Sus scrofa: one gene and its partners. The protein of the gene in region 2 interacts with the protein of the main gene of each other region in a biochemical or structural test. Links are inferred from orthologs where the notes say so. Each region holds a gene or a part of one and is shown on either strand. Other genes may lie near its edges. The genes, in order: IQSEC2, DLG1 and EVI5.

The links.
Region 1: the proteins of DLG1 (region 2) and IQSEC2 interact in a test that uses a peptide from one of them, tested with the Homo sapiens proteins (2 studies listed by IntAct, with this or other methods). The link is inferred for Sus scrofa from reciprocal best matches to the Homo sapiens genes DLG1 and IQSEC2.
Region 3: the proteins of DLG1 (region 2) and EVI5 interact in a test that uses a peptide from one of them, tested with the Homo sapiens proteins (2 studies listed by IntAct, with this or other methods). The link is inferred for Sus scrofa from reciprocal best matches to the Homo sapiens genes DLG1 and EVI5.

Annotation. Positions count from the first base shown.
Region 1 is NC_010461.5:46,087,981-46,098,820, forward strand, and holds the start of IQSEC2 (IQ motif and SEC7 domain-containing protein 2), read right to left. Parts: upstream 6,999-10,840; 5' UTR 6,831-6,998; coding exon 6,124-6,830; intron 1-6,123. UniProt on the Homo sapiens protein: Is a guanine nucleotide exchange factor for the ARF GTP-binding proteins.
Region 2 is NC_010455.5:133,046,152-133,056,891, reverse strand, and holds part of DLG1 (disks large homolog 1), read right to left. Parts: intron 8,555-10,740; coding exon 8,513-8,554; intron 7,803-8,512; coding exon 7,767-7,802; intron 6,354-7,766; coding exon 6,303-6,353; intron 5,154-6,302; coding exon 5,052-5,153; intron 4,794-5,051; coding exon 4,621-4,793; intron 1-4,620. UniProt on the Homo sapiens protein: Essential multidomain scaffolding protein required for normal development. Recruits channels, receptors and signaling molecules to discrete plasma membrane domains in polarized cells.
Region 3 is NC_010446.5:124,390,502-124,401,334, reverse strand, and holds the start of EVI5 (ecotropic viral integration site 5 protein homolog), read right to left. Parts: upstream 6,019-10,833; 5' UTR 5,971-6,018; coding exon 5,920-5,970; intron 1-5,919. UniProt on the Homo sapiens protein: Functions as a regulator of cell cycle progression by stabilizing the FBXO5 protein and promoting cyclin-A accumulation during interphase. May play a role in cytokinesis.

The DNA of each region.
Region 1 (10,840 bases), on a different chromosome or scaffold from region 2:
GCTTTCAATATGGATGCCTGGAGAGACCTTGTCACTCACAAGGAAGTGAGAGTAACTAGCAAATGATCTTGCCCTAAATGACTTACCACCTTACATGACTTACCACAGAAGAGGAATAAGTCATTTATTCATCATTCTTCCCTGTGACCAGTGTTGATTCTTCTGCCAGGAAATACAGCGGGGAATGAGCCAGGGGGACCACCTCTTATTCTGGCTCCAAGACTCTGTGCCCAGCCCAGGGTCAGAGCCCAATAAAGATTTGATGGATACATAAGTAACCTCCCACTGGATGGGGCCGATGACACACAGGTCCTACGCACCCCTCTCTGCTCCCTTCAGGACAGAAGATCCTGCATGGAGGGAGAAGACCATGGTACGACATGGCCAGGCATGGGAAGGACAGGTAATGATGCGCAGACTGGCCTAAACGTCTCTAAAGTCTCATCTGACTCTGCTACTCCAACATCCTGTGAACTGGGAGGCTGGCGAGTGGGAGGAACACAGAGGGCAGAGGCCAAACAGCTCCAGGGAACAGGCGGAAAAAGCCATGCAGAAGCCAAGAGAACTCTGAGGTTGAGTCATGTCTCTCTACAGGAGTCCTGGAAGGAAGAAACCTTAGGCACCCCTGACCATTAACGCACCAGGACTTAATCTGATGTTCATCTGTCTACACAACACTTACTGAGCAGCCACTGTGTGCTGTGCTATGTGTTTCCAAGCTTCTCGTTCCTTCATTCATGCCCACAGCACCTAGCAGAGGGACTGACACAACATGCACTTGATAGATGTGCATGAAAACTCCATCTGGAGGAGTTCTCAAGCTAGTAGACACAACACAAGATGGAAATAAATAGTGGTATAAAAGGGGGACAAAGTGCTCATTTCAAGGGTCAGGAATAGAGCAGTGAGCAAACCCGGGAGAGGTGGTGACAGCAGAGTGCAGCCCAGGCACTGGATGGAATAGTCCAGGAGAAGGGAACAGCATAAGCAAAGACCCAGAGGCTCTCAGGAGGCTGAGTGGGCTGACAATGGGACACAATCGACCAGTCTGGCTGGAACACGGCCTGCATGAGGGGGACTGTAAAAAAATGAAAGGAGAAAGGTGAGATCCTAAGGAGCCTGTGCATGGCAGGCAGAGGAGTCTGAACCTTCTCCTGCAGGCCAAGACAGAGGGAAAGTGCTGGGGGCGCCCTGCACAAAGCTTGGCCTGGCTGCGTCTCATCAAGGGCCTGATGGAATGAGAGCAGGAGAACACGGATTAGAAGACTGTGGTCAAAATCTACGAGGGGATCAGGAAAGGGAGCCGGACGCCAGCCATGATCCTAGGAGCTCTGCTGGGGAAAGCTGGGAGCCATGCCCAGAGAATCTTTAACATCTTCATACCCTGCCTGCCTGCAGGAGGCAACAGTGGATGAAAGGCTCGGGAGCCAGATAGTTCTGGGCCCCACATGGCTGTGTAACCTTGGGCAGGTCACCGTACCTCTCTGATCCTCACTTCTTTGTCTGAAAAATGAGGATAATACAAACACCCATCTGGCAGTGACTCTATGCAAATGAGATAAGAGGCAGTACTGAAGGCTGGGTGAGAGTGCTGTGGATGGACTTTGGAGCCCAGCCACCGGGGCTCCTTCTAGCCCCTTTTCAGTTCTGCCACTTATTCACTGAGTGACCTTGGGGAAGTTATCCAACCTTTCTGGGCCTCAGTTTCCTCATCTGTGAAATGGACTTAATAACAATATAAACATCAAAGGATTAGTGTGGAGATTGAATGAATTAATACATGGAAAGCACTTAGAACAAATAGTGCTTGGCACCCAGTAAATGCAGTTTAAAAAAAAATGTTGGCTATTGTTACATAAAGCCACACAGGGTGGTGCCTGGCACATAGAAGGCTGAGGCTCATTCAGCACATGTATAGCCCCTTCTCCATGCTCCAGACCTTTCCCGTGCTCCCAACAAATTCAGAAGCCACGGGAGGCAGAGGTGGGACAGCTGAAAGAGTTGCAGAGGGCAAGCCTAGGTTTCGTCTTCCTCCCACCTCCCCCTCCATCGGACATCAGGAGATACCCAGTCTCTTCAAAGTCCCCCTCCCAGCTCCTCACCGAACCCTGCTACTCATTTTGTCCTGAGCACCAGCACCAATGGTGGGTCGGGCCTGCCCCCGACCCATGTCTCTAGCTGGGTGTGGGGGAGCTCTCAAGCCCAGAGAGTATGGTATTTGCTCAGGCTGGTGGCCCCTCCTGCTCCGTGCACACAGCCAAGAAATGTTTGTGGATGACAACAGCCCCATTCTTGCCCCAGATCTAGACGGAGAAGCAAGACTCCTCTAATTCTCATTCAATTTGACGTTATCATTGCCTCCCACACGAGTATAATGCTCCCAACACACTGGAGGGGAGAGAAAAGTACCCAAGACCCCAAAGGAGACAGACTTCCCCAGGGCCCCTCCCTGGGCTCCCTCCCTCCCTCTGAGGGCCCTCGTCCCCCCTGCAGGGAGTACACTGACACCCCAGTGCAGGAAGCCAGCTGGGCAGCTGTGCCTAGACCACGCACTGCCCTGGCTGTCAAGAACGCCAGGCCGGCCCTGCTGGTTGCTATCCTCCATCGCAAGCCAGCTTGCTGGGGTGGGTGGCTGGGGGCGGGGAGAGGTGGGCCAAGGATGGAGAGTTACCACCAAACCAGCTTCAGCCCACCACCGCCTACGGCAGAGCCAGAGCTGGGCCCGGGCAAAAGGCGTGGGAAATGCAGCTCTCTTCAGTGTGGAGCCACTCGGCAGTGGCCCCCAGCACGCCTATAAATCATTCCAGGCACCAGAACTGCAAGGGGTTGGTGGGGGGGGCAGGCCAAGATCAACAAGGAAAACACAGCTCTTCGCTAATCACGGGGCGGGGGGGGGGAGTGTCAACAATTTCAGGGAGAAAGATCTGAGCATCAGCAGAGACCAGCAGCTGCTAAACAAACAAACAAACAAATAAGCAAAGACCTCATGTACCGAGGTCCAGCGGCCAGAAGGAGGTTGGGCCTCATCTCGCTCTATGCTGCACTAGAAAGGCCACACCCAGAGCACAGCAGAAGGCAGACTGGCATCCGGGAACCTGTCCAGAAGAGACAGTGCTAGAGGATGTGGGAATCCTTGGGGGGATGACACGGGTGGGGGTGGACGTGACAGCTGCTATCAACTGCGGTAGAGGACAAGTTCCCAGGCTCAGGGAGTCTGTCTCGCGGCTACTGTGACCTCTGGTGTGTTACTTCCCTCCTCTGAGCCCTCGGTTGCTTGGGCTATAAAATGTGGATGGTGGTGACAGATGCACAGGGTCACTGGGCGGACGGGAGCAAGTCCCTGAGCAGAGGGGCCCCTCAACAAGCGGCAGCTGGGCCCAGGCCCCTCTCTCCCCTCTTCCTCCACCAGAGGGAGCCGGGGGACCAGGAGCACCCAGCCTGTACCAGCTCTACCTATCCTCCCCCAATGCTGCAGCCTCTGCTGTTCAACTCCCACCCTGCCTGCCCTGGCTTCCAGCGGCAGCCTCTCACCCACTCCTTACAAACCCAGAACAGGCCTAGCAGGGGAGTCACTTGCAGCAGCTTTGGTGACAACAATGGCTATTGCATCAACAGGCCCTCCTGATGCCTTGGAATGGGGAGGGGTGCAGAAAGGAGGGAGGACAAGGCTTCCTGCCCTCCCCTGTCCACTCCCCCTCTATCACTCATCCCAGATCCATCTCCCCCTGCTCAAATCCTCTAGATACCTAAGGCTCTCCTGGCCTCTCCCAGTGGGTGACCTGGCCAGGTCCGGAGGCCAAGAGACTCCTGTGGGCTGGAAAAGCTCGAGTGGAAAAATAACAGGCCTCAGAGACAGGTGGACTCGGGTTCTAGTCCCAGCTGCATTAGGAACTGGCAGTGTAACCTTGAGCAAGGTCCCTTAATTTTTTTTGGGGGGGCCTCAGTTTCCCCATTTCTACAATGGAGTTGCCAGTGCCCACTGCACAGGGCCTGTTGTGAGGACCCAAAAGAGATTACAATGGACGTACAAATATTTAATATATGGTTAGGAGAGATTCAAAGTACTATCTCAATCCCGTTCGTAATCCAGTAGGAAATGCGAAGCAAGGAAACGCAACAAACAGCCTGAAGGGTGCACAAAAAGAGGGAAGGACTGAGAGGCAGGCCTGCCCGGATGGCAGAAACGTAGAGCTCAAGAGCAAACAGGCTTCCAGCCAGCCAAGAGATTCAGACCCATGTCTAGAGGATGGAGCAATCTGAGGGGAATGGGATCCTGGAATTGAGGAAGACCCAGGTCATTTCATTGGGTTTTACACTGATTCCAGAATGATGTTTTCTCCAGCCCTCCCCAATCCCCTCGAGGCAGTCCACTGCATCACCAGACAGCCAGGTTGGAAAGTTCTTCCTGCTATATCCCCCCAAATCTCCCATTGCTCCTGGTTCTGCTCCCTGGAGCCACCCATAATGAGGCTGCTTCCTCTGTCACAGGCTTGACCACTCTAGAAAAGTCTTCTGCAGCCAGGCTCAAGGACCACAATGCCCATCCAGTCTCCCTCTGCCCTCACCCCACCGTGGCCCTCTCCTGAAAGGGCCTTGCTTGGTCCATTTGGCCCCTCCCTCCAGTGTGGGGCCCCAAGCTGCGCACAGTCAGTCCTTCAGGAATGGGCTCCCAGCAACCCTCCACCTGGGCAGAAGAGCCCATCTCCCTCTGGGGCAGCCCACACCAAACCTCAGCTGAGGGTGCGCTGCAGTGAAGCCCAGTCGAGCCCTTGAGCTGCAGCTGCTGCTCCTGGGGCCCAGCCATCTCAACCCAGCACCCCAGCCTGCTGCCTCACCACGGGGGAGTTGCAGAGAGCTGTCTCCCGGCAGATTTCCTGAGGCAGAAGGCTTCCCCACCCCCAGCCCAGCCTCTAGGAGACACTCCACTGGTTGTGGCACATGGTAGGACCAGCTGAGCCGTGAGAGGAGGGGGAAAGCTGTCCATTCGCTAGAGGACTTCAGACTTGCTCTGTAGTGTGGCTGGATTAGTCACAGAACCATCAAATCTAAGCTGGAGGGGCCCTTAAAGAGCATTCAAGGCAGACCTTGCCTTTTAAAAAGATAGGGACCTGAACGAGGAAGGGACTCAGTCAAGGTCACAAAGCCAACCTGCAGCAGAGCTGGAAGAAGAACCCAGGTTTCCTAACTCCCAGTTCAGTATTCTTTCCAATCCAGCAGAAGAGAAATCAGGGAGCCTTTGGGGCAGCCTTGTGAGCCCGCATGTCCTTGACTCTCTCAACCTGACATTTATCCCAACCAGCTCACCATGGTTATCTGCATGGAAGAAGTGGACCCAGCCCATGCCCCATCAACACAAGAGATATTGCCAAGGTGTCCCAAATAGGCAGACGCGCAGACCCCAGCACAGAAACTGGCACTGATCCAACAAGAAGGAAGCTCTGTAGACTTCCTTTTCTGGCACGCTTTTTAATTGGGTGGTGTTTTTCTTGAGGGTGGAGAGGGGGTGGTCTTTGAGAAACTAGCCAAGGGCCAGGCCTCCATCTTTGCTTCCCCCCCCCCCCAGCCAGGATGTGCTGCAGTTCCCCTCAGAGAGCTGTCTCAGCCTCCAGCAGCCATTCTAGTCCCCACCTGCCTCTCTGGGCAAGGATGGAGCTGAGGCCGCCCGAGGAGATAAGATCAGGCCTGTGCTCAGGACCCGCAGAGGAGACCTGAACCGGAAGGGGGGGAAGGGGGGGGTGTCTTTCCCTTGGGGCTCTGAGCCTACACCGTCGCAGACAATAAAAATCCCGACCAGAACATCCTAAATAAATAAATAAATAAACGAAAAGCCATCCTCTGGCAAGGATACAGCGAGAGGGTGAAGAAGTGGAGGGGGTGATGACTGCTCCTGGCCCTCACTGGCCACGGTTTTGAGAAAGAAGAGATGCCTGCACTCGTCGGGCCAACCCTCTCTGGAAGAGCTAAGGGGTGTTGGCTGCATGAGAGGGACCTGGCTTCTCCCGACAGGCTGGGACAGGAGAGGTGGACATGGAATCAGGCACCGGCTTCTTACTTTACCAGCCGTACAAGTTAGAGAGGGAACTAGCGGGGAAGAGCCGGGGGAGACAAACACGCGTTCCTTACTTTCTCTGGAGGGTTGTGGCCGGGCTGGTGCTGGTACTCGTGCTGTGGCCGCCGCCGGCCCCCGGGCTGGAGCTCCTGGATGCGCCACGGCTCAGCTGGCCCCGCTCCCGCGGTGGCCGGGGCCCCACGCCCACCGCCGCCGAATAGCCGGCTTCCTTCTCGCGGCCCGGGTGCGCTGGCCCGGCCTCCCGCCCGCCACGCTCGCGACCCAGGGCTGGGTTCTCGTGGTGCAGGTGGCACTGGGTCACGTCGCGCTCGCGGGCAGAGTAGCCGGCACTGTCCTGGAGTGGGTAAGAGGCGTCCCGCTCCTTGTCCCGATACACAGCCTCTCGGTTCTGGTAGGCGCCGTCCCGGTTCGGGTAGCCCACGTCCCGGGCCGCCTGGTGGAACTGGCTCTCCCGCAGCTCCCGGTGGTGGAACTGGGTCTCGCGCAGGTTCTGGTACTGGCTCTCGCGGCTCGGGCTATCCCGCGCGCCGTGGGGGTCCCGGTGCAGCTCCCCGCGGTGCAGCTGGCTCTCCTCCCTCAGGTCGCGGTTCTCCTGGGTGAGCTGGTCCAGCTGGCCCTCCAGCTCTTCGATGCGCCGCCGCTGGGTCTCCAGCAGCTGCTGCTGGCTCTCGATGATGTTGTTCAGCTCCAGCAGGTACTCCACCGCCCGGTTAGGGCTCTCGGATCCCGGGCCGCCCGGGGGACCCGAACCCGCCTCCATCCTGGCGGCCCAGGGGCAGGGGAAGGGGCAGGAGAGCCCGGTCCCCGCTCGCTCACGGCGCCACCCTCCCCCGGGCCCAGCCGGGGGAGGGGGCCGGCGGGACGCGAGGGCGCGCACCGGGCTCGAGGGCCCGGGGGCCCGGGGGGCCCGGGAGACAGCGCTGGGGCCGGCGGCACGGGGAGCAGGAGCTGAGGCTGCCGCTGCCGCTGCCGCCGCCGCCGCCGCCGCCACCGCCACCGCCACGGCTCCCGAGGACGCGGCCCACGGCGCTCCGCCCGCTGCGGAGTCACTGCGCAGCGCGGCCGCGCGGGACCGCCCCGGCCGCCGGCCCGCCCCCCGCCCCTGCCCCACCCCTGCTCCCACCCCGCGCGCCCGGCCCGCCCCCGCGCGTCCCACCTGCCGCCGCCGCCGCCGCCCGCAGTCGAAGCCGGACCCGCCCCGAGGCACCCGGGCCAGCCGCATCACAGGCTGCGGCTGCGGGAGATTTCTCCATTCTACCGGCTCCAGGGTCGTACTTAATGCAGCCTAAAGAAGCCCTCCATCCCACTCTGTTCCAATGTCCCTAGGGTCCACCAGGCCCAAGATCCTCCTCTAAAACATTCCAGGAACCGCCATGCCAGGTCCAGGCATACCGCAGACTCCCCATCCCTTAGGTCTGCCAATTCCAAGTGTCAGATTCCCCATCCCGTCCAACTCCTGGACCTCCTATCTCAGGTGACCTCTCTCTAGCCCACATCACAGGCAGTCCCGGGATCTTCCCCCCCCCCCCAATAAGCCCTGGAACTCCCCATCATAGCCAGTCTTAGGAGCAAAGCTCCCTTCATGCGCTCAACCCGCATTTTCTGCTCTCCTTTGGAAATGCTCACCTCCATGCAAAGAAACTGTACCCATCCTTCAAGATTTAAATGCCACCTTACTGAAGCCAGCCCTGATCTCCCTAGCCATAAGTGCTCTCTTCCTCCACGCTTGTGGGACAAGTGGAACTCTGCTTTATAGCGCATTCGTTTTTGTTCTTGTTTCATGTCCTCTGCTAGACCAAGCTCCTTAAAGCCAGAAACATGTCTTCCTTCATCTTTGTGAACAGGTCGGGGTAGAAGAGAAAGCAAGAAAGCATGAGTTTTTCAGTCAGGCAGAATTGGATTTAAATTCCAGCTTCTTTCCGAACTTCCATTTCCTTTTCAATAACACCTACCTCACAGGGGTGGTCTTGGGAAAAAAGCATGCAAAAACATTTGGCATAAAAAAGAAAACCTGGAGAATGGAAGAAAATACTTGCAAATGAGGTATCTGAATATGTAAAGAAGTCTTACAGCTCAACAACAAAAAGACAACCCGTTTTTTAAAATGTTGCCCCTTTAAGGATTTGAATAGATTTAGTCTCCAAGATGTCCAAATGACCAGTAAGCACAGGAAAAGATGCTCAACATCATTAGCCATCAGGCGAATGCAGAGCAAAACCACAACAAGCTTTCCGTTCTAACCTAAAGAGAAACTTTCACAATGTCCAGTGCCCTTGATGTCCTGCAGCTGAAGGAGGAGGGGGTCCTTAAATTCCTTGCAGCAGGAACCCACTTAGCTGGCACCAACTTTGACAAATGGAACAGTATGTATACAAAAGGCAAAGTGATGGCATCTACATCATAAATCTGAAGGTTCTGCTGGTGGCTTGTACCACTGAAAACCCAGCTGATGTCAGTGTCATATCCTCCAGGAATACTGGCCAGCAACCTGTGCTGAAGTTTGCTGCTGCCACCGGGGCCATTCCTATTGCTGGCCACTTCGCTCCTGGAATCTTCCTTAACCAGATCCAGGCAGCCTTCTGTGAGCCACAATTTCCAGTGGTCACTGATATCACGGCTGACTACCAGCTTCTCACAGAGGCGTCTTATATTACCATGCCCACTGTTGCTCTGTGTGACACAGATTCTCCTCTGTGCCATGTGGACACTGCCACCCCGTGCAACAACAAGGGAGCCCCCTCAGCAAGTCTGATGTGGTAGATGGTGGCCCGAGAAGTTCTGCGTGTGTGTGGCATCATCTCCCGTGAGCACCACAGGAGGTCAAGCCTGATCTCAGCTTCTACAGAGACCCTAAAGAGATGGAAAAAGATAAACAGGCCACTGCGGGAATGGCTGTGACTGAGCAGGATTTTCAGGGTAAACGGACCGCTCCAGCTCCTGAGTTTACTGCTACCCATCCTGAGAGCACAGGCTGGTCTGAAAGCATGTAAGTGCCCTCTGTGCCTATCCAGCAGTTCTCTGCTGAAGATTAGAATGCTCAGCCCTCCACTGAAGACTGCTCCTGCTGCCCAAGCCACTGAATGGGTAGGAACGACCACTGGGTGGTCTTAGACTGGTCTTCCACAGGTTCTTAAACAGAAAATGGAAATAAAGCTGTTGAAAAATAAACATCAGTTTCTTAACACACAAACACGCACACAGAGATACCACTTCATACCCACAAAGATAGTTAAAAGAGGACAAAGAGAAGTATTGGCAAACGTACGGAGAAATTGGAACCCTCAATCCTTGCTGGTGGAAATGTAAAATGGTGTGGTTGCTTTGGAAAACAGTTTGGAAGTTTCTCAAAATGTTAAATGTAGGTTTACCATGTAACCCTAGAATCAACTCTTAGGAATATACCCAAGAGAAATGAAAACATAGGTCCACCCAAAAACTTATACATGATGTTAATAGCAGCATTATTCATAATAGCCAAAAAGTGAAAACAATGAAATGTTCCTCTGTTGATGAATGGGTAAACTAAATGTGGTATAGACACACAGTGGAATATTATTCAGTCATAAAAAGGAATGAAGTTCCAAAATATATAAACAGCCCATACAACTCAATATCAAAAAAACCAAACAACCTCATTAAAAATGGGCAGAAGACCTGAATAAACATTTTTCCGAAGAAGACATACAGATGGCCAACAGGCACATGAAAGGATGTTGAACATCACTAATCATCAGAGGAATGCAAATCAAAACCAAAATGAGATATCACCTCACATCTGTCAGAATGGCTATCATCAAAAAGACCACAAATAACAATGTTGACGAGGATGTGAAGAAAAGGGAACCCAAGAAACAAACTCATGGACAGGGAGAACAGACTTGTTGCCAAGAGGAAGGAGGAGGGAGTGAGAGGAACTGGGAATGTGGGATTAGTAGATGCAAACTATTGCATTTGGAACGGATAAGCAACGAGATCTTGCTGAATAGCACAGGGAACTACACCTAATCACTTGTGCTGGAACATGACGGGAGATAATGTATGTATATAAACATATAACTGGGTCACTTTGCTGTATAGCAGAAATTGACAGAACATTGTAAATCAACTATAATAAAAAAATTTTAAAGAAAAGGGAACCCTTTTCTTTAATGTAAATTGGTACGGCCATTGTGGAAAACAATATAGAGGTTCCTCAAAAAACTCAATATAGTTCCTGAAAATAGAACTACCACATGATCCAGCAACTCCACTCCTGGGTATGTATTCAAAGAAAACAAAAACATTACTTTGAAAAGATACATGCACCCCAATGTTCATAGCAGTGTAATTTGCAATAGCAAAGATAGGGAAGCAACCTGAGTTTCCATCAACTGATGCACGGATAAAAAAAGATGTGGGATATATACAAGATGAAATACTACTCAACCATAAAAAGAATGAAATTTTGCCATTTGCAACAATATGGATGGACTTGGAGGGTATTGTGCTTAGTGAAATGTCAGACAGAGAAAGACAAAAGCTGTATCATGTCACTTATATGGAAAACCTAAGAATTAACTGGTGAATATAACAAGAAAGAAATGGACTCACGGATATAGAGAACAAACTAGTGGTTACCAATGGGGAGAGGGAAGGATGAAGGGGCAAGATAGGGATAGGGAATTAAAAGATACAAACTACTATGTATAAAATTACTAGGCAACAGATATATTGCACAGCACAGAGAATATAGCCAATATTTCATAATAACTATAAATGGAGTATAAGCTT
Region 2 (10,740 bases):
CCTATTCTTTTTTTTTTTTTGTCTTTCTCTCTTTTTCAGGGCCACATCTGCAGCAAATGCAGGTTCCCAGGTTAGGAGTCCAATTGGAGCTGTAGCCACCAGCCTATGCCAGGGCCACAGCAACACGGGATCCAAGCCACATCTGCGACCTACACCACAGCTCATGGCAACACCGGATCCTTAAACCACTGAGCGCGGCCAGGGATCGAACCTGCATCCTCATGGATGCCAGTCAGATTCGTTAACTGCTGAGCCACAATGGGAACTCCAAGGATGCCCCATTCTTGTCACTTTTATTCAACACAGTATCGGAAGTCCTGGCCACAGCAATAATACAAGAAAAATAATAGGAATCCATATCGGGAAGGAAGGAGTAAAACTGTCATTGTTTGCAGATAACATGATACTATACATAGAAAATCCTAAAGATGCTACCAGAATGTTACTAAAGTTCATCAATAAATCTGATAAAGTTGCAGAGTATAAAATTAACATACAGAAATGTGCTGTGTCTCTATACACTAACAATAAACTATCAGAAAAACAAATTAAGGTAATAATCGCATTTACCACTGCATCAAAAAAATAAAATACCTAGGAATAAACCTCCCTAAGGAGGTAAAGACTTATAGTTAAAAAACTGTAGGTCAGGGATGAAAGAAACTGAAGTTGACACAAAAAGAAGGAAAGAAACACTGTGTTCTTAGGATGGAAGAATTAATACTGCTAAATTGACTATACTACTCAAGGTTATTTACAGATTCAATGCAATTCCTATCAAATTACCAATGGCATTTTCCATAGAGGTAGAATAAATAATTCTAAAATTTGTATGGAAAGACCAAAGATCCCAAATAGCTAAACAATACTGAGAAAGAACAGAGCTGGAGGAATCATGCTTCCTCACTTCAGATTATACTACAAAGCTACAGACATCAAAACAATATGGTACTGACACAAAAACAGACACATAATTCAATGGAATAGAATACAGAGCCCAGAAATAAACCCACCTACTTATGGTTGATTAATCTATGACAAAGGAGGCAATATTATACAATGGAGAAAACACAGTCTCTTCATTAAGCAATGCTAGGAAAACTGGATAGCTACATGTAAAAGAATGAAATTATAACATTCTCTAACGCAATATACAAAAATAAACTCAAAATGGATGAAAGACCTAAGTGTAAGACTTGAAACCATAAAATTCCTAGAGAAAACATAAGCAGAACACCCTTTGATATAAGTTGTAGCAGTATTTTTTTAGATCTGCCTCCTAAAGCAAAGGAAATAAATGTAAAAATAAACAAATGGGACCTAATCAAACTTAAAAGCTTTTGTACAGCAAGGGAAACCATCAACAAATAAAAGACTACTGACTGAATGGGAGAAAATATCTGCAAATGATATTGACTGATAAGTGGTTAATGTCCATCATATATAAACAACTCACACAACTCAACATCAAATAAATAAACAACCTGTTTGAAAAGTGGGCAGAAGAACTGAGTAGACATTTTCCAGAAAGGAAATGTAGATGGCCCAAATGGGCACATGAAAAGTTGCTCTACATTACTAATCATCAGGTTATCACCTCACACCTATCAGAATTGCTATTATCAAAAAGAGCACAAATGCTGGCAAAGATTTGAGAAAAGGAAACTCTTGTACACTGTTAGTAGGAGTGTAAATTGGTGCAGTCACTGTGGAAAACAGTATGAGGGGTTCTCCAAAAACTAAAAACAGAGCTATCATATGACCCAACATTTCCACTCCTGGGGTGTGTATATCTGAAAAAACAAAAAACGCTAAATTCAAAAAGATACATGAACCCCAATGTTCATAGCAGCATTACTTACAATTGCCAAGATATGGAAGCAATCTAAGTGTCCATCAACAGATGAATGAATACAAAGATATGTTATGTATACACACACACACACAACACACACAATGGAACAGTATTCTGTCATAAAATTTTACCTGCTCTGCAGCAACAAAGATGGACTTGGAGAGTATTATGCTAAGTGAAAAGGCCAGACATAGAGAGACAAATACTGTATGACATCACTTTATATATGGAATCTAAAAAGTATAGCAAACTAATGAATATAACAGAGGCAGACTCACAGAGAAAAAAACTAGTGGTTAGCAGTGGAGAGAGGGATGAGGAGTAGGGCAATATAGGGATGGGGATAAAGAGGTACAACTGTTACATATAAAATAAGCTAAAATAATTGGAGTTCCTGTCGTGGCACAGTGGTTAACGAATCCGACTAGGAGCCATGAGGTTGCGGGTTCGATCCCTGCCCTTGCTCAGTGGGTTAACGACCCGGCATTGCCGTGAGCTGTGGTGTAGGTTGCAGATGCGGCTCGGATCCCGCGTTGCTGTGGCTCTGGCGTAGGCCGGCGGCTACAGCTCTGATTGGACCCCTACCCTGGGAACCTCCATATGCCGCGGGAGCGGCTCAAGAATGGCAAAAAGACAAAAAAAAAAAAAAAAAAAAAAAAGAATATATTGTACAATACAGGGACTATAGCTAACATTTTATAACTATAAATGGAGTATAACCTTTAAAAATTGTAAATCACTATACTGTACACCTGTAACATATGATATTGTACATCAACTGTATGTTGATATAAATAAATGAATAAAATTTTCCTCTTTGCCAGGCCTTTTTGTTTTCAATTTCCTAATAATTTACAGCTTTACTGCATTGTGATCAGAGTATTATTTGCAACATTTCTACTTTGTGGAATTTCCTGGTAGTTTCTTTTCCACAAGGTTTCCACAAGAAATAGCTTGCTATGATTTGGTGTTTGCTTTTCTATTTATTAATAATCTGAAGTTTGGATATTACCCTCAGTTAGGGTGAGGGTGTTTTTAAAATTTTTTTTAAGAATTTAAAGAAGTAGAACATTAAAACTAAAGCTAAAGCTACAATTTCCTTCCCTCACCTCTCAAAAAGAAAACCACTGGATAGTGGCTACATATACTCCCGAAGTAGATGTGTATCATTCCCATGCATGTTTTCTTTATCCAGCAATATTTTTTGTTAATTGATACACAGTTGATATTGATACAATATTTTGTGTTTCTGGTATATATACAACACAGTGATTCAGACTTTTTATTTATTTTATTTGGATCAATCCATTTTATTCAGGGGCTTTGGGGGAGGGTTGAAGGGCTGGGAGAACAATGAGATCCCATGTCCTCCTGGCCAGGATCTCCTGGCTTCACCATATCTGAAAGCTGTTCACACTTTTTAAAAGGTTATATTCTATTTATAGTTATTACAGTCCCTGTGCTGTATTATATATCCTTGTAGCTTATTTTATACTCCTGCATGGTTTTTATGTTTGGGAAATATGCATCAATAAACTACTGGATGTTTTATGTTAAAGTTACAAGTAGTGTCATCCTGTATATTTCCTTTGTAACTTCATTCATTCACCATTAGAATTTTGAGACTAAGGTGGATACACATAATTAGTGAATATTTAGTTTATTCACTCTAGCTGCTGTATACCACTGCATGAATAAATAAGTTAATTATCCACTCCTCTTTGCTGAGTCCAATTTTTCACTACTAGAAAGCGCTACTATGAACATCATTATACATGATCCTTATGTGTAAATCTTGACTTAAATAACAAGAAGTAGAATTCCTGTGTCACAAAGATTATGTACATTTATTGGGTACTGCCAAACTGCTTTCAAATGAAGTTTTAGTAATGTGTATCTTCATTAACAGTATCTAGTAAGATTTTCTATTTTCTCAAATTCTTGCCAATTGAACACTTTCATTTAAATTTTTTTTTTTAAACTAGTCAGAATTAAACCTCTTATAAAAAAAAAGGAGCATTTATGATGGGAAACAGAGATGTTGAATTACTGCTATATGTTCTATAGGTATTTCATGACTAAGTTTTAAACTACTGTAATTCTGAAAGTATAAAGTAATGTTGATATTTACTTTCTTGATCCAAAGAGTGACTTAGGCATAGCAGCACATCTGGAGTACATTGTTTTGGTTTTATTATAAAGCTGCTTTAACTCAATGTGAATGTATCATCAGACTGCTTTAAAAAATTTTTCTGTTGCTATTATAATGCTACTGAGTATTTTTCACATTGTCTTTTGTTAAATGACTTTTCAGGAGAAATTTTAGCCTAGTCTCAGTACCAGGAGCAACTTATACTTACCCTGAACATCTGGTTCATTTTTATTGGTAGACTGCTGATCCTAGCTTCTTTATTAGGCTAGATGTTGGAAAGCTAGGGCTAAACACAAGCTCTATCTCTAGCGAATGCACAGGACCTCAAAATAATAACCTCTCCTCTTAGAAATTCATGTTATCATTTCTATTCTTATTTTCTTTGCTTATCTTCTTAATCTACTTGATCTTGTATACCATTCTCTAAGCCACCTAAAAGTAAATATTTAGTTGAATAAATTCATAACATTGATTAAAGTAATCAATGTTGAAACATTTATCTGTATTTTTTCAAAAATAGGAATTAAAAGTCTCTATCCCTTCATTCTTTCATACTGTCAAAGGTGTATCTGATTAGAAACTGTATTCTGGGATCACTTTGATGCTTGCTTACCTTTTCTGCTACTTCTCGCACAGACTGTACACTTGTTCCATAGAGATGGTTGTTATACTGGCCAGCTTCAATAAATTTATGTTCTTGGATATCTTTTTCCATTTGCTCTCTTGAAGTCACAAAATGATAATCTCTTCCATCTACCTCATAATCTCGTTTTGGTCTGGTTGTATCTTTAATAGAAAAGAACTTGAGGAAGTGTTTAACATTAAAAAAGCACAACAAACCCATTTGCTACTTAAAGCATCATTTGGTAAAGTTCAACACAAAAGAGACCGATTTAAATCTGAAAAGAGACAATAATATGGAGGGTGGAGGAATAACTGATAATGTAACTAAGAATAAACCCTTAAAAAATGGTAATGTTTACTTTGACCATACACAATGACAAAATGTTAAGAACAAATATTTAATGTGGGTTAATTACTCACGAGGAACACATGATCCAAACTTGTCAGGAAACTCTGAGATCAAGTCATCATTTATCCTGTCTTTCATAGGTCCCAATATGATCACTGGTCGAGTATAATTAACTAAAAAATATACTGCATGTTAAAAGGGATAAACATTCAACAAATATGTATATATTTCACTAGAAAAAAAAAGTACCCTTAACTATTACGAAGAATTTCTTTTTTTCTTTCTCCACCAATGATGCCTAAACTTATGGTTTACAAGCCTTTATTAAGATCATAAACTTCAATCTCCTGTTGGAAGTCAGACTTGGATAATTCAACCAAGTTAAATCTAGCATTTTAGCAGATAATGTTTCTATACATTACTAACATTATCTCATTACAAGTGAGAAAACACAGTATCATGTTTTACTAATCCTTTTTGAAGTAAAATTGTAAGGAAACAGATGAAAGAATGGCAAAAAAGAAGCTGGGTATGGAGTTCCCGTAGTGGCTCAGTGGCTAATGACTCTGACTAGGAACCATGAGGTTTCGGGTTTGATCCCTGGCCTTGCTCGGTGGGTTAAGGATCCGTTGCAGATGCGGCTCGGATCCTGCATTGTTGTGGCTCTGGTGTAGGCTGGTCACTACAGCTCCGATTAAACCCCTAGCCTGGGAAACTCCATATGCTGTGGGTGCAGCCCTAGAAAAAGACAAAAAAAAAAAAAAAAAAAAAAAAAAGAAGAAGCTGGGTATAAGAAGTGATATAATCATAGCAGTGATCTACAAAGATGATCTAACAGAAGTATATATCCTGGATTGTAAGGGATCATGTTGGAGGCAGAGAGATTATTTGTGAAAATCAGAATTAACATTGTGGTAGGAGGATGAAAAGAAGGTCATAAATAAGAAAGATATGATAAGAACAAATAGGGCCTAGAAACAAATTGGACAAGGGAAATGAGGAACACAGAAAGATCAAAGATGCTTCCAAGATTTTGAACAAGGGTCACTAGAATCATAGTGATACTACTACAAACAGTGGAAAGAAGCTGCTTAGGAAATAAAACAATATAATATAGTCAATATAAAATGACTAGATCCTCATAATCTATGGGCTAAGCCATATTTCATAAAATCATACAGCAAATTTCTATATATATACAAATGGTAAAAAAATAGTAAAATTAATGTAACTTTTAAAGTATGAATTGAATTACATCTATTTTCCAAATTAAGAAGTATATTTTTCTATAAGATTGTAAAATATTAACTGGCTTCACAAACCTTCTTGCTGATTCACTGGTTCATAAGATAAGACATATTCTTCTTGACCACCTATTAGAAAGTTAAAATAGAGATGAGAAAATATATAAAGACAACTAATTTAATTCTTCACATATAACATATAAATTACTAGCACCTTCCTAAGAAAACAGCCAAAGATGTTAAAAGAAGAGTACTTTATAAATTAATCATGGCAAGATTTAAGGAAAAAAGTGACAAATCATAAAGTTTGATAAATGTTAAAACAAAACATAAATGTATTAGTTAATAACTATCTTTCTGTTATTCTGTGTTTTACGCATTGTCATTATATTTATTTAAAATCTTTACTTGTCAAGTATGTGCTATTAATTTTTTATTTAGAATCTAAGAGGTATTAAATCTTTTAAACACTTTAATGACAGTTCTATACATATATACACAGTAGGTAATTTACTCTTATTAAGGATATGCTGCTTTTTTGGTCATACCAGGTATAATTTTAATATACATACATATTTTTATAATTACAACTATTTTCTAGCCAAACATTTTAATGCAAAGGAAAAGCTAGTGTTACTATTTCACTGATGAAAATTTCACTGATTATTATAATTCATTTATTCAATTAAAAAAATAAATTTTGAGTTAAAAAAGCTTTAGATAAAACTAAATCCTTTTCTTTCAACAAAATGAATCATATAAATAGTAAGGAGAAAAAACATATTTTGCTTTGATCTTAAAAGCACTTTAGAAGTTAAATTTCTCTAAGATTAAATTAAGGGTTTAGAGCTTAAGAATATTCTAAACAGAAAAGTGTACAAATTATATCTTGACTCAATGAAAATAACTAGGAGTTAAAAACTGCAGGTCTTAACACACACATACATATACACACACAGGTGTAGAAAACAAACTAGGAAGAATTGTTAAATTCAAATGGTTCAGTGAAATCAATTGATATTGGATAATGTATTTGAAGATTTTCTCATTATAATTCTATAATAATATTCTCACTAAATTTGTCATTGTTATATGTATGTAGCTGTAAATCTTTTAAATTATAACTGGAATAAATATTCTTTCCTCCTTTAAAAGCGTATTTTGTTGTTTTCAAGTTTACTATAATACATTGAGCATATATATTTACAAACTGCTTTTTAAGTACTATATGTAAACCATTACATATTAGCAAAAACATGCAATTTGAATATTACACACCTAATAATTCATGCAAATGGTGACATAGACAGTATATACTTTCATTACCTCTTTTTAGCCTAGAAAGCTACTCAACTACTCTCTAGTGTGTTCTGATTTTAAGTAAATAAAATGTTAAAATACAAGAATCACATTCCCACACCAATAGAGAAAATCATTATGTAACTACTTGCAGAAAAAAAATCAACCAATCAAACAAACGAGGGTTAAAAGTATATATTGTCAACATGAAAAATATTAGAGACTGATATTAACAGGATGGACCTTTTGAGCAGCCATACTCATCTGTAATCAAGATTACTTTCATATTAGACAGCAGTAAAAAAAAAAGTTAGAAAAGCAATTTAATTTTTAAGGTGCTACAACTGATAATATTCATGTATTCTCCCCCTCCTCCTCCCATGCCCAAATATGGTTAAAAATTCCACATGCTTATATTGTTCATTTAATAATACAATACAAAGACTAACACAAGAACCAAAAAAGAAATCAGTATTAATGATTACTGACTGAGCAACTGGTGAAAATTTTCCCTTCATCATTTCTTACATTCACCAAAAGCTGGTGATAAACAATATCTTGATCCATACTAGTATTGGTGACACAGAATAGAAAAAGGAAATAAAGCTAATTATAATTTAGCATTACTAACAAATATTTTAATGCTCATGTTAGAAACAGAGTTACTAAATAAAATGGCACAATGCAAGTTTACCTCTCATTTAACTAGATACTTATTTCTTACAAAAGACACCAATTCACATGCATGTACTATGTACATAAGAAGCACTGTTTGTAAAATGAATTTTTGTATTTTATGAAAACTTGGTATTAACTTCTACATTAGAGCATGATTTTAATTTATTAAGTACAGAGCTTTATTTGGCTCTCTCTGATTTTAAAATATTAAGCATCTAATTTTCAGTTTTTAGAACACATAACTAGGGGGGAAAAACCCCAAGGGTATATTACTTGAGATAACGAAAGAACAAATAACTTAAAACACTTACGGTAACTACTTTCGCTATCACTGGCATTAGAAGTTACATGTTCTGAAGTTGCAGGACAATGGAAAAAATAAAGAAAATACAGTGTTATGAGATTAAAAAAAGCAAATTATCAAGATAAACAAGGTAACAACAAAATGTCGACATATAAACCACACATAATTCAGAGTTTTTAAAAATATTTTTGATTTTCTTTGAGAAGTTTATTTCAAATAAGTGAGTATGAAATAGCAAGGAAAAAATCTATAATCAAGGACAATGCCTCATTTCTGTCCAATAGAGTCTGTGAACAAAATCTTATTACAAATAGTAAATAGAATATGATGAAGAGGGCAAAGTGATCCTAAACTAGTTCAAACATAAAACCCAAAGGAGAAAAAATGTCATTGCATCATTTAATTTGGGTTATGAAACACTAATAACTGACAAAGGAGACAAGTTATACTTGAGTGAACAGATGCCCATTTTAACGAAAAGATAAAAAATAAATAAATGATCTTGCTTTTAGTTTAGCTTCTTTCTTGTTCCTAAAGAGAAATGAAAATCCATGTCTGAGATCATACAGATAAAGATTCAGATGCCTCAAAAAAAAAAAAAAAAAAGTTAAATGGAACGGAATTCTAGAAGGTGAGACTGATAATTTTATTTTCTTGCTTTTTAGGGCTGGACCTGCAGCATGTGGAAGTTCCCATATGCTGTGCCCACGCCACAGCCACAGTCCAACCTGGGATCTGAGCCACATCTGCGACCTGCAACACAACTCATGGCAATGCCAGATCCTTAACCCATTGAACAACGCCAAGGATTGAACCCGAGTCCTCATGGATACTGGTTGGGTTCATTACCACTGAGCCAAAACAGGAACTCCAAGACTGCCTGTATTTTAAAGAAGACTAGTATTTTTGAAAAACTCTTCTTTGGTAAAACTGACAATGGCTACTTTGCAAAACAAAGAAGATAAAGTAAATATACCCATTTTCTAGGTCCCTCCTTCAAATTGACCACCCATTTTATAGCTTGATTGTTCAGTAAACACCTAGCTATCTTCTCATGTAAATGTAAACTCGTGTTCTCTCAATGTCTCCTTTGAATAAAAGGTGATTTTTATCTATTAAAAACTAAAAATCAAAATTTTCCATGCGAGAGAAGTAAATCTAAATTTCTATGTCAGGCAAAGGAAAAAAATTTAAAGGATAAGGAAAAAGTTTGAGGTATCTGCTATCCAACATATCACTCACAGAATCTCCTAAAATGAAACAGCCCTAATGAAAAGTTTAGAGAAAGGCAGGACTTAAGATTTCAAATAAAGATAACAGTTTGTGAATTGCTGTCATAGTCAAAAAAACAAGTCTATTACTCTAACCTGGAAAGATAAGACACAACTCTGATTTTTTTTTTTGGTCTTTTTTTTTTTTTTTTTTTAGGGCTGCACCTGTGGCATATGGAAGTTCTTAGGCTAGGGGTCTAATTGGCAAATTGGAGCTGCAGCTGCTGGCCTATGCCACAGCTTGCATCGATGCGGGATTCTTAACCCATTGACCAAGGCCAGGGATGGAACCCGTGTCCTCATGGATACTAGTCTGCTTTGTAACCGCTGGGGAACTCCAGACACAACTTGCTTAATCATAATTAAATATATTTTAAAGAAAGCAGGAATATTAAAAATTATAAGACTGAAAAATACATGAAAAGCACATGTAAAATGGTAGTTTTCTCAGGTTTATATTTAAAATTTTCCCCATTGTTACCACATGGATTTCAAAACAATCATTTTAAATTGCTGTAAAATAGTATATTGGACAGTTAAATCATGATTTACCTTATTTCTTCTTATTCTGACATTTTAGTTTGCTTAAATTGTCTTCCACAAACATCAACATATTATTATGAATGCCTTCATTTATACGGCTTTCACCTTTTGTCTTAGTCCCTTAAAATTCACTTCCAGAAGTAGAAATGCCACATAGAAAAGGAAAAGTTCTTAAATTTATACTAGGACTGGTATTACACTCTAAAATCTCTAATATGTAAAAGAAGGAAATGTTATTACAATGCAGTTGAGTGGAGGGGGAGAGGAAGTATAGAAGAAACAAAATTAACTTTGAATTGATAATTACAGAAGTTGGGTAAATACTTGCGGGGTTTATTTTACAATTCCTCCATTACTGAATATGTCTGACATAGTATATAATAAAAAGTTAAAGTTACTACAGTTTCTTTGCTGGGAATTT
Region 3 (10,833 bases), on a different chromosome or scaffold from region 2:
ACGGGTCCTCCACCCACTTAAGGAACCAGCTCGCCCTCACCCCCAGAGCAAGCAAGGGGGCACGTGCTGCTCGTTTGAGCTCCCTCATGCTACAGCACAAGCCCCAAGAAAGCCTGGTCTGGATTTCTTGTCCGGCCTCATTAATTTCCACGCACTAAGTAGTCCAAGGAACCTAGTCAGTGACACGCTGTTGGAGGGACTGTAAATGGGTGCAGCCGCTAGGGAAAATGGTATGGAGATCCCTCAACGAAATTAAAAATGGGGAGATCCCATTAAGGCTCAGTGGTTAACGACTCTGGCCTCTCTCAGTGGGTTAAGGATCCAGAGTTGAGCTGTGGTGTAGGCTGAAGACTTGGCTCAGATCTGGCATTGCTGTGGCTGTGGGTGTAGGCCGGCAGCTACGGCTCTGATTAGACCCCTAGCCTGGGAACCTCCACATGCCGCAGGTGCTATCCTAAAAAGACAAAAAAAAAAAAAAAAAAAAATTAAAAATGGGGAGTTCCCAACGTGGCTCAGTGGTAATGAACCCATCTAGTATCCATGAGGACGAGGGTTTGATCCCTGGCCTCACTCAGTGGGTTAAGGATCTGTAGTTGCCATGAGCTTTGGTGTAGGTTGAAGATGTGGTTCAGATCCTGCATTGCTGTGGCTGTGGTATAGGCCAGCAGCTGTAGCTCTGATTCAACCCCTAGCATGGGAACTTCCATATGCCAACCCATGACCCTGAAAAAAAAAAAAAAAGGAAAAAATTAAAAATAGAATTACCATACAATCCAAGAAGTCCACTTTGGGGTATTTATCTGAAGAAAATAAAAACACTAATTTTAAAAGCTATATTCACTCAAAAGTTTATTGCAGGATTATTTATGATAGCTAAGATACAGAAGTAACTTAGGTGTCCATCGATAGATAAAGGGTAAAGAAGTGATGTATGTGTACACAACGGGATGGTACTCCACCCCCAAAAAAGAAGGAAGTCTTGCCATTTGCAACAACATGGACTGACCTAGGGTGCTATGCTAAGTAACGCATGTCTGGCAGAGGAGTTCCTGCTGTGACACAGTGGGTTAATTATCTGTTTTGTCTCCATGGAGATGAGGGTTTGATCCCCAGCCCAGTGCAGTGGGTTAAGGATTCGGCATTGCTGCAGCTGTGGTGCAGGTCGCAGATCCAGCTCAGATTCGATCCCTGGCCCGGGAAATTCCAAATCCCATGGGTGCAGCTGAAAAAAAAGGAAAAGAAAAAAATAACAAGCCAGGCAGAGAAAAACAAATATTGCATGGTTTCACTTATATGTGGAATCCAAAAAACAAAACCAATAAATACAACAAAATAGAAACAGACGCAGGGATACAGAGGACAAACTGGTGGTTGCCAGAGGGGTGGGGATGAAATAAATTAAGGGGAGGTACCAACTTCCAGTTAGAAAATAAGTAAGTCTTGGGAATGTCATGTACAGCATAGAGAATATAGTCAGTAACACTGTGATAACTTCAGTGACAGATGGAAACTAGACTTACTGTGGTGACCCTTCCATGATGCACAAAAGTATCATTTTGTATTGTACTCCTGAAACTAATATAATATTGCATACATCAGTTAAAGAAAGCAAGCTTTGAGTTCCCGTTGTGGCTCCGGGTAACGAACCAAATGAGTAACCATGAGGATGTGGCTTCGATCCGAGCCTCACTCCATGGGTTAAGTGTCCAGAGTTGCCATGGGCTGTGGTGTGAAGTCGAAGATGTGGCTCAGATCTGGCGTTGGTGGCTGTGGTGTAGGCCGGCAGCTGTAGCTCTGATTTGACCCCTAGCCTGGGAACTTCCGTGCGCTGCACATGGGGTCCTTAAAAAAAAAAAAAAAAAAAAAAGCTAAACACACAGCTGAGCACTCTCTGTGTGTGAATATCGGAATATCGGCCGAGGGCTGTACCTACATTGCTTCTTTTAATCCTCACGCTATTATCATGAGGCAGAAATTATTACAACCCCCTTGCATATGAGAAAACAGACCTCGTAAATTCCGTGCCTCTTGCCCTTGTTTATACAAACGGAAGATGGTTGGACAAGACTTTGAACCCGGTCAGTCTAATGTTGGAAGTGGTTTATGTGTATCACCTACCCACGAGATGAAGAGCTTTGCAATGACTAAAATCATGCCTTGTCTTAGGCCACTCAGGAGCCTGAGCACTTTGCATAGTAGCTATTCAAAGTATTTTGAATGAATGATAAAAACAAGCTTGGTGTTGATTTTATTGGCACAAATTATATACATTTTCATTGGTACAAACTGCAGGTACACATTAAAATGCTAAATAATCCAAGCAATCAGTACCGCTGGGCTCAGTGCGTAATGTATTGTCTCTAATGAGGCCACAGGCCTGAGGAAAGGAGCTCTGACCCCCCAACGCCACTCCTGGCTCATTCCTTTCTTCACTCACCCTGGACCCATCAGTTTATTTGATGAAAGAGCTGACACTTTAATTTCTCATCAAAAAATTAAATTTTGAATAAATAAAAGTTGTAGAAATAAATTAAAATTAAAGCTCAGTCTCACCCGAGAAATAGCTAATTCTGACCTCTCACAAGCGCGTGAGCACTTGCGTAAGTGAAATTCCACGGTGTGAATTCCACCCCAACACCGCCTCTGCTCCAGCTCTCTGCCACTCTGCAGTTCACACTCTGGAAAAACTCGAGTAGAAGATACAGGAAGTGTGGGGGCAGTGGGCAGGGGCACCCACCTCAGAGACAATTGAATTTGAGGTAAATTCAGTTAGCAATTCAAGATGCTATGTTTTTTTCTTCTTTCTTTCTTTCTTTCTTTCTTTTTTTTTAAATGCCACACCTACAGCACATGGAAGTTCCAGGCTAGAGGTCGAATCAGAGCTGCAGTGCCAGCATATGCCACAGTCACGGCATCATCGCATCTATAAATCCGAGCAGCACCTTCAACCTATGCTGCCATGTGTGGCAACGCTGGATCCTTAACCCACTGAGCCGCACCAGGAACTCCATGATTCTGTATGTTCTAATGCCACACACCCTTAGCATGGATTTGTGTCACTGTCCAGGACAGGAAAACAAAGAAGGTCTGAGCTCCTATGGCCGCTAAACCTGGCAAGGGTTAAATATCAGAACACCACGCTCTCAACTGCCACAAGCATTTTATACATCAGCCAGGTGAGCTTCGTTACTCACAGAAAGGCAAGGGAGACATTCCCCTGAGAGGCAAAAACTGCCCAGGGTACAGAAAAGGACTCACAGTGAAGTCAGTGGTGAACCACACTCCACTCTGACTCTGGGCAGCTGGCATCTGGAGCTTCCAGAGAAAATCAGGGCATCTCAGTTACATTCTAGGATTGCACCGTCCAATACATCAGCCACTAGCCTCATGCAACTCTTTGTATTTATTTATTTATTTATTTATTTATTTTATTTTATTTTTTTTGTCTTTTTTTTTTTTGCCATTTCTCAGGCCGCTCTCACGGCATATGGAGGTTCCCAGGCTAGGGGTTGAATTGGAGCTGTAGCCACCGGCCTACACCAGAGCCACAGCAACGCGGGATCCGAGCCGCGCCTGCAACCTACACCACAGCTCACGGCAACGCCGGATCCTTAACCCACTGAGCAAGGGCAGGGACCGAACCCGCAACCTCATGGTTCCTAGTCGGATTCGTTAACCACTGCGCCACGACGGGAACTCCAACTCTTTGTATTTAAACGAAATTTTCAGTTTCTCAGAGGCATTCACACAATTCAAGAGCTTAACAAGAGTCACGTGTGTCTGCTTATTTCTGCCTTGGGCAGTAGACAGACCATTTCCATCCATTAGAAAGTTCTCTTGGCCGCACTATTCTAGAAAAAGGAGAAATAACACTCTACTGTGACCTCCAGCTAATGTTCGCAATTTTCTTTTTGCTTTGCAAAAACGAAGGCTCACCATGAAATAGTGAAAGCCTATCTCACTTGGCTCAATGCTTTCTACAGCACAAATCCAAAAGGCACCCAAGCACAAGCGCTGTGGTCTTTCCTCCTATAGAGGTAAGAACGGCTTTAGCCTCACCGCTTCGCCTCCACTGCATTCCGCTGTCTGCTAGACACGGCATCTTAGGAAAGAACATTGTTAAGAGCCACACAAATCTATTGCCATCTCTTGGCACCTGAGCACAGATAAGGACTAGATCTGCCACAGTTGTGGTAAAGAACCAGCTCTCTGACTGTAGAGTTTGGATGTCATTTCTATGTGTGATATCAGCTATCCACCCAACAGCAGCTTTGACATTGCACTGCCAAAATGGGACATCAAGAGAGCGCCAATTTCCTTCTCACCCACCACAGGAGAAGTCCATTCTTTTCTTGACTGTCTGAAATAGCTGTTTTACAGCAAGATAAGATATAGTGCAAGTAGGGTAGTAATTCCAATTTATCCAATGATCTGGGAACTAGTAACCTCTACATTAATGTAAGTGACTGCATTGTGACCTAACATTTCAAGTGTGTTTGTTGAAAGTGTGTTAAGCCTCTTCTTTCTTTTTCCTTAGCCTCCCTGCCCAGGCCAGGGATCAGATATAGTCATAGCTGAGATCTAAGCCACAGCTGCATCACGGAGAGATCCTTAACCCACTGTGCCGCGCCGGGGATCAAACCTGCATCCCAGCACTCCCAAGACACTGTGAATCCTGTTGCACTATAACAGGAAGTCCTGTTAAGCCTCTTTGAACTCTAGCCTTTTCATCCATAAAAAAACGGGAGATAAAGTATCTACTTAAAATCAGAGTGATAATTAAATGAAATACCATATGCAGGGCACAGAATAAGCATTCAGCAAATGATAGCTCTTGCAATTGCTATTATCCAAAGTACCAACATGTCAAAAATTTTAAATAGAGTTTGAAAAGACTCTGAAGTAGAAAAATCCTGACTCGACCACCTGCTAATTGCCTGGCCTTTAACCTCCATAAGCTTCGATTCTTCATCCTTCATCTTACAAATAAGAGTTACCAACAATAGGGAGTTCCCATTGTGGCTTAGCAGGTTAAGAACCGGACTGGTATCCATGAGGATGTGGGTGTGATCCCTGGCCTCACTCAGTAGGTTAAGGATGTGGCAGCACTGCTGCAAGCCTCTGCATAGTTTGCAGATGTGGCTCGAATCTGGCATTGCCATGTGGCTGAGGTGTAGACCACAGCTGCAGCTCCGACTGGACCCCTAGCCTGGGAAATTCATATGCCACAGGTATGGCCCTCAAAAGTATAACAGTAAATGATAACAGTAAATACAAACTTTAGCTAATGTTAATAAGGTACTCTGTCCCCACCTTCACCAAAAAAAAAAAAAAAAAAAAAGAGGAAACTATACATTAGGAAAGTGTTACTCTACAGTAAAATTAATTTAGCTTTTATTATGCCCTATACTCCTACACACGGCTGGGAAGTAACCACTGCTGAAGTCATCACTGAGAGGCCACACAACACTTAACGCTGCCATCAAATAGAATTTGTGAACAAATTCTATGGTAACCAGCATTTTCTACAGCTCATCTTTTTCTCCACGGGAGGAATTTGAAACCCATACAGACATACGGTCTCCTCTGAGAAAGTACAGTCTAAAAAGATAGGCAGCAGCCAATTACAGCAGGGAAAGAAACGGTTTTGAATTACAACAGTCAGTTACCGAAATAACCTTTTTTGCAGGTGTAGAATTAAAGCTAACACTTCATAAATTGTTGTTCATCACTCCAGTGGCCGCAGCACAATGAGATAACGTTCTCAAAATAAAACTGAAATGTCCACAAGCTGTTCCTGTGTTTTGATGATTAAGCAAAGTCTATAAACCCTAACTCAGTGAACAAAATATCTCCTGTTACAGCAATTACATTTTTATAAGTTTCGATGTAAAATCAAACATTGCTTTAGACATTTACCTGTTTCCCAGAAGGGTTTCTAAAGGCAGCAGTCATTCTGGTGGTAACCATGATAAGCAAAGACAGAGAGACTGGGGATTTGAATTGAATTTATAGCTGACTCATCGGGAGTGTTTACAAGACACTACCCCTGGGATCCACCCATTCGACACCCTTTCGGCTCTACCCTACACTCTGGTTAGGTGGCACACTTCGAGGAAGCTGCCCATGGCCATGCGGAGGACGGGGATTGCAGGGGGCAGGGGGAGCTTTGGGGCAGAAGGTTGCTCGTTGATTTCATGTTTTCCTCCTCCTTCCCTTGCTTTCTTCCTCCATTCCTCCTTTCTCTTTCGTCCATGTTCCTTCCTGCCTTCAAGGACTTGGTTTGTCTCAGAATGACACTTGTGCACTAGCTGTTCTGTGTTTGGGGTGCTGACTCTGGCATTGGTTAGCAGCTTCTATGTATTAGGTGGTTTCAGGACTTGAATTTGACACGAGACAAAATTATGAACGTGGTAGGAGTTGCGTTGCGTTCTTGAGTTCGCTTTGTTTTGGTTTTCTTCTTTTGTGGCCGCCCCCCAGCCTATGGATTTCCTGAGCCGGGGGGGGGGGGGGGGGGGATTCAAGATGCAGTTGCAACCTACCCAGCAGCAGCAGCCACGCCAGATCCTTTAATGCACTGGCCAGACCAAAGAGCAACCTGCAGAGATTCTACCTACTCTGTTGCACCACAGGGGAAATTCCTTGAGTTTGTTTTTTTTTGTTTGGTTGGTTGGTTGGGTTTTTTTGTTTTTTGGGGGTTTTTTTTGCTTTTTAGGGCCGAACCTTCGGCATATGGAGTTCCCAGACGAGGGGTCGAATCAGAGCTGCAGCTGTCAGCCCACACCACAGCCACAGCAACACCAGATCTGAGCCGTGTTTTTGACCTACACCACCACTCATGGCAACACCGGATCCTTAACCCACTGAGCGAGGCCAGGGGTCCAACCTGTGTCCTCATGGTTATTAGTCAGATTTGTTTCCACTGCGCCACAATGGGAACTCCTACTCAGGACAATTAACTGGTAATGTCTATGAAATACAAAGGCAAGTAACATCCTTGTGAGAGAGAACTCAGATATATTCCATTCTCTCTGAATTGGGCTTTGGAAGCAGTTTTTATCTATAGTCTCAATCTTCCCCATAACCCTATTATTATACTCATAAAATTTACAAGTGAACCCAAGCAAGTCAGGAAGAATGCTTCATTTATTTCCTCATTCAATCATTCATTCAGAAGCATATGAAGGACACACCACTGTGTCAGACACTTTCCCAGGAGGTAGGGTGATAGCAGACATTCTCAGCTCCTACAACAAGGTCAGCAATAATGTAAGGTGCCTCCAAATGAAGCAGCCATCATTAGGCTCATATAAAAAGATGAGGATGCTGAGGCTGGTCCAACATCACAATGACAGAAAAAGTAAAAGCAAACATGCAAGCATAATTCTTTCTTCACTACAAAGCCTGTGTTGTTCAGAGTTACAAAAACCTAGTACCTGTGTCTAGACTCTAGTTTAATAATATTGGTTCTGGTGCAGAAGACAGACATATGAACAAATAAATGGACGAAAATGATATATTCCATTGTATGGCGATATAGCAGGAACATACAGACTGGGGAGCACCTAACCTGGCCAGGGAGCTGTCCTGTCTTTATCTGTCCACATCCTCTTCCATCTTCTATTGACAGGTGTAGGCACCTGACTCAAGCTAAGCCAGTCACATCACCTTAACCCCCTGGCCACAGCAACTAGGTCAAAAGGGAAGGCCTAGAAGATTCCCGCCCAAAGATTTTTCACAGCAGAACTGGAAAAGTTGAAGCCCTTTTCTTTCTCATTAGGAAGCTCTAGGGGTTTGAACGCAGAGATCCTGGCTATACTCAGAGAAGTAAAAATGAGATGGAAACATCCTGAAGATAAAGAATTCTTGGTTCCAAGCAATCCTGTCTTTCCTAAGCCTCTGCTGTTATTTATTTATTTATTTATTTAGTCTTTTCTAGGGCCGCACCCGCGGCATATGGCGGTTCCCAGGCTAGGGGTTGAATCAGAGCTACAGCTGCCAGCCTACACCACAGCCACAGCAACACGGGATCCGAGCCTCATCTGTGACCTACACCACAGCTCATGGCAATGCTGGATCCTTAACCCAGTGGGTGAGGCCAGGGGTCTAACCTGAAACCTCATGGTTCCTAGTCGGATTCGTTAACCACTGCGCCACGACGGGAACTCCCTCTGCTGCTCTTTAATGCTGTGGCTTCACCAGTAACCTCCAAGTGACTCACTGAATCATCTGATATTTTCTGAACATTTACATATGCATACTGCTTATATGGAATGCACTACTTATTATTCCAGGTTATTATTCTAGGTGATGCTCTAGGCAGTGGGGATAGAAAGACTTGGTAGCCATCCTCTAACTGGAACCCCCTTGATCCTCACGGCCTGTTTTTCACATTCTTCTACAGTCCCTCCCACAGAATAAGAGCTGATCTGTGTAACCAATAAAATATAGCATGAGTAATAGAGTCTATAACCTCTGAGACTAGGTTATCAGGACACTGTAGTTTTCACCTTGTTCTCTTGGATCGCACGCTTTGGGGGAAGCCAGCTGTCAGGTGTGAACAGCTCTATTAAGAAAAAAAATCAAAGGTGTTCCCGTCATGGCTCAATGGGGTTAAGAACCCAACTAGTATCCATGAGGATGCAGGTTTGATCCCTGGCCTCGCTCAGTGGGTTAAGAATCCCTCGTTACCATGAGCTGTGGTATAGGTTGCAGATGTGACTTGGATCCCGTGCTGGCATTGCTGACTGTAGTGTAGGCTGACAGTTGCAGCTCTGATTTGACCCCTAGACTGGGAACTTCCATATGCCTCGGGTGTGGGCATAAAAAGAAAGAAAAAGAGAAAAAAGAAAGGAAAAAAATCAAAGGCATCAGCATCTAGAGCCAACTTGCCAGCCATATCAACGAACCACCTTGGAAGTGGATCCTTCAGCCCCAGTTCTGTCTGACCATGTCAGTCCTGGCCCACATATGATTGAATCTCAGAAACCCCACCCAAGGACCAGTCAGCAAGCTGCTCCCAAATTCCTGACACAGGAAACTGTAAGAAATAATAAATGTTTGTTGTTGTTCTAGAGCACTAAATTTTAGGGTGTTTTTTTTTTTAACCACAAATAGCAATAGCAATAGATAATTAATACAATATATCAATGACAGAAACAGATGCAAACCCTGCCCTAACAGTGCTTAAATTTTCGTGGGAGAAAACAGACAACAAACAGATATGTACTATCCGTAAAAAGTAGAGCAGGAAAACTGAATATCTACATGTAAAAGAATGAAGTTGGACCTTACACCACAAATAAAAATTAGTTCAAAATGGATCAAAGAGCTGAATCTATAAAACTCATTTAAATAACAGGAGAAAATCTTTAGGACATGGGATTTGGCAATGATTTCTTAAATATGACACCAAAAACAGGCAACAACAACAAAAATACATAAATTGGATTTCATCAAAAGGGGTTAAGGATCCAGTGTGGTCTCTGCACCGGCCCAGGGCATTGCTGAGGTGTGGGTTCTATCCCCAGCCTGGGCCAGTGGGTTAAGGATCCGTTGTTGCCAAAGCTGTGGCACAGGTCACAGCTGCGGCTCAGATTCGATCCCCGGCCTGGGAATTTCCATATGCTGCGAGTGCAGCCAAAAAAAATTTTTGTCTGCATCAAAGAACACTATCAAAAGAGTAAAACGATAACTCATGGAACGGGAGAAAATATTTCCAAATCATATATTTAACAAAGAATTAATACCTAAACTATATAAAGAACTGCTACAATTTAATAAGAAAAAACAAGCCAGTTGAAAAATGGGAAGAGAACTTGAACAGACATTTCCCCCAAAAAGATGTACGGCAGCACATAGAAGGATGCATGATATTATTATTCATTAGGAAAATGCAAATGAAAACCACAATGAAATACCACTTCACACTCACCATGATGACTATTACAAAAAAAAAAAACTTGAAAATTACAAATATTGCTGAGGTCATGGAGAAATTAGAACCCTTGTGCACTGCTGGTAGAAATGCAAATTGATGCAGCCACTATGGAAAACAGTTGGTAGTTCCTCAAAAAGTTATACATAATTACCCTAGCACCCTGCAATTCTCCTTCAAGCTGCCGAAAGGAACTCAAAACAGGAACTCAGATATACCACGGTTCATAGCAGCTCTATTTACAACAGCCCAAAGGGGAAAGAACTCAAGTGTATATCAACAAGTGAATGGATAAGCAAAATATGGTATATTCGTACAACGGAATATTATTCAGCCATAAAAGGGAACAACGTCCTGATACATACTGCCAGACGGCTAAACCTCGAAAATATTGTGGTAAGTGAAATAAGCCAGACCCAAAAGAACAAATATTGTATGATTCCACTTGTAGGAGGTATCTAGGTATTTATAGAGACAGAAAGGAAACTAGAGGTTATCAGGGTCCAGGGGAGAAGGACCTGGGAAATTATTGCTAAATGGGTACACAGTTTCCAATTGGGGTAATGAAAGGCTTTGGGAACCAGATAGTGGTGATGGTTATACAGTATTGTGAAAATGTCCTTGATGCTACTGAATTTTAGATCTAAAAATAGTTAAAATGGTAAAATTCATGTATGTATATTTTCCACCATAAAAAAGCCTCCTAAGAATTTAGATCATCTTAGAAGAGAATAAATAGAAAATGAGCAGCAGGAATCTTGATTTGATAACAAATTGAACTCATAAATTACTACCCAAAATACACTGTATATGAGATGCTGTAAGTACATGGAGAAAACTGAAACAAGGAAGAGAAGAGGGAGTGTGGGGAAAGGTTACTACGATTTTAAAGAGGA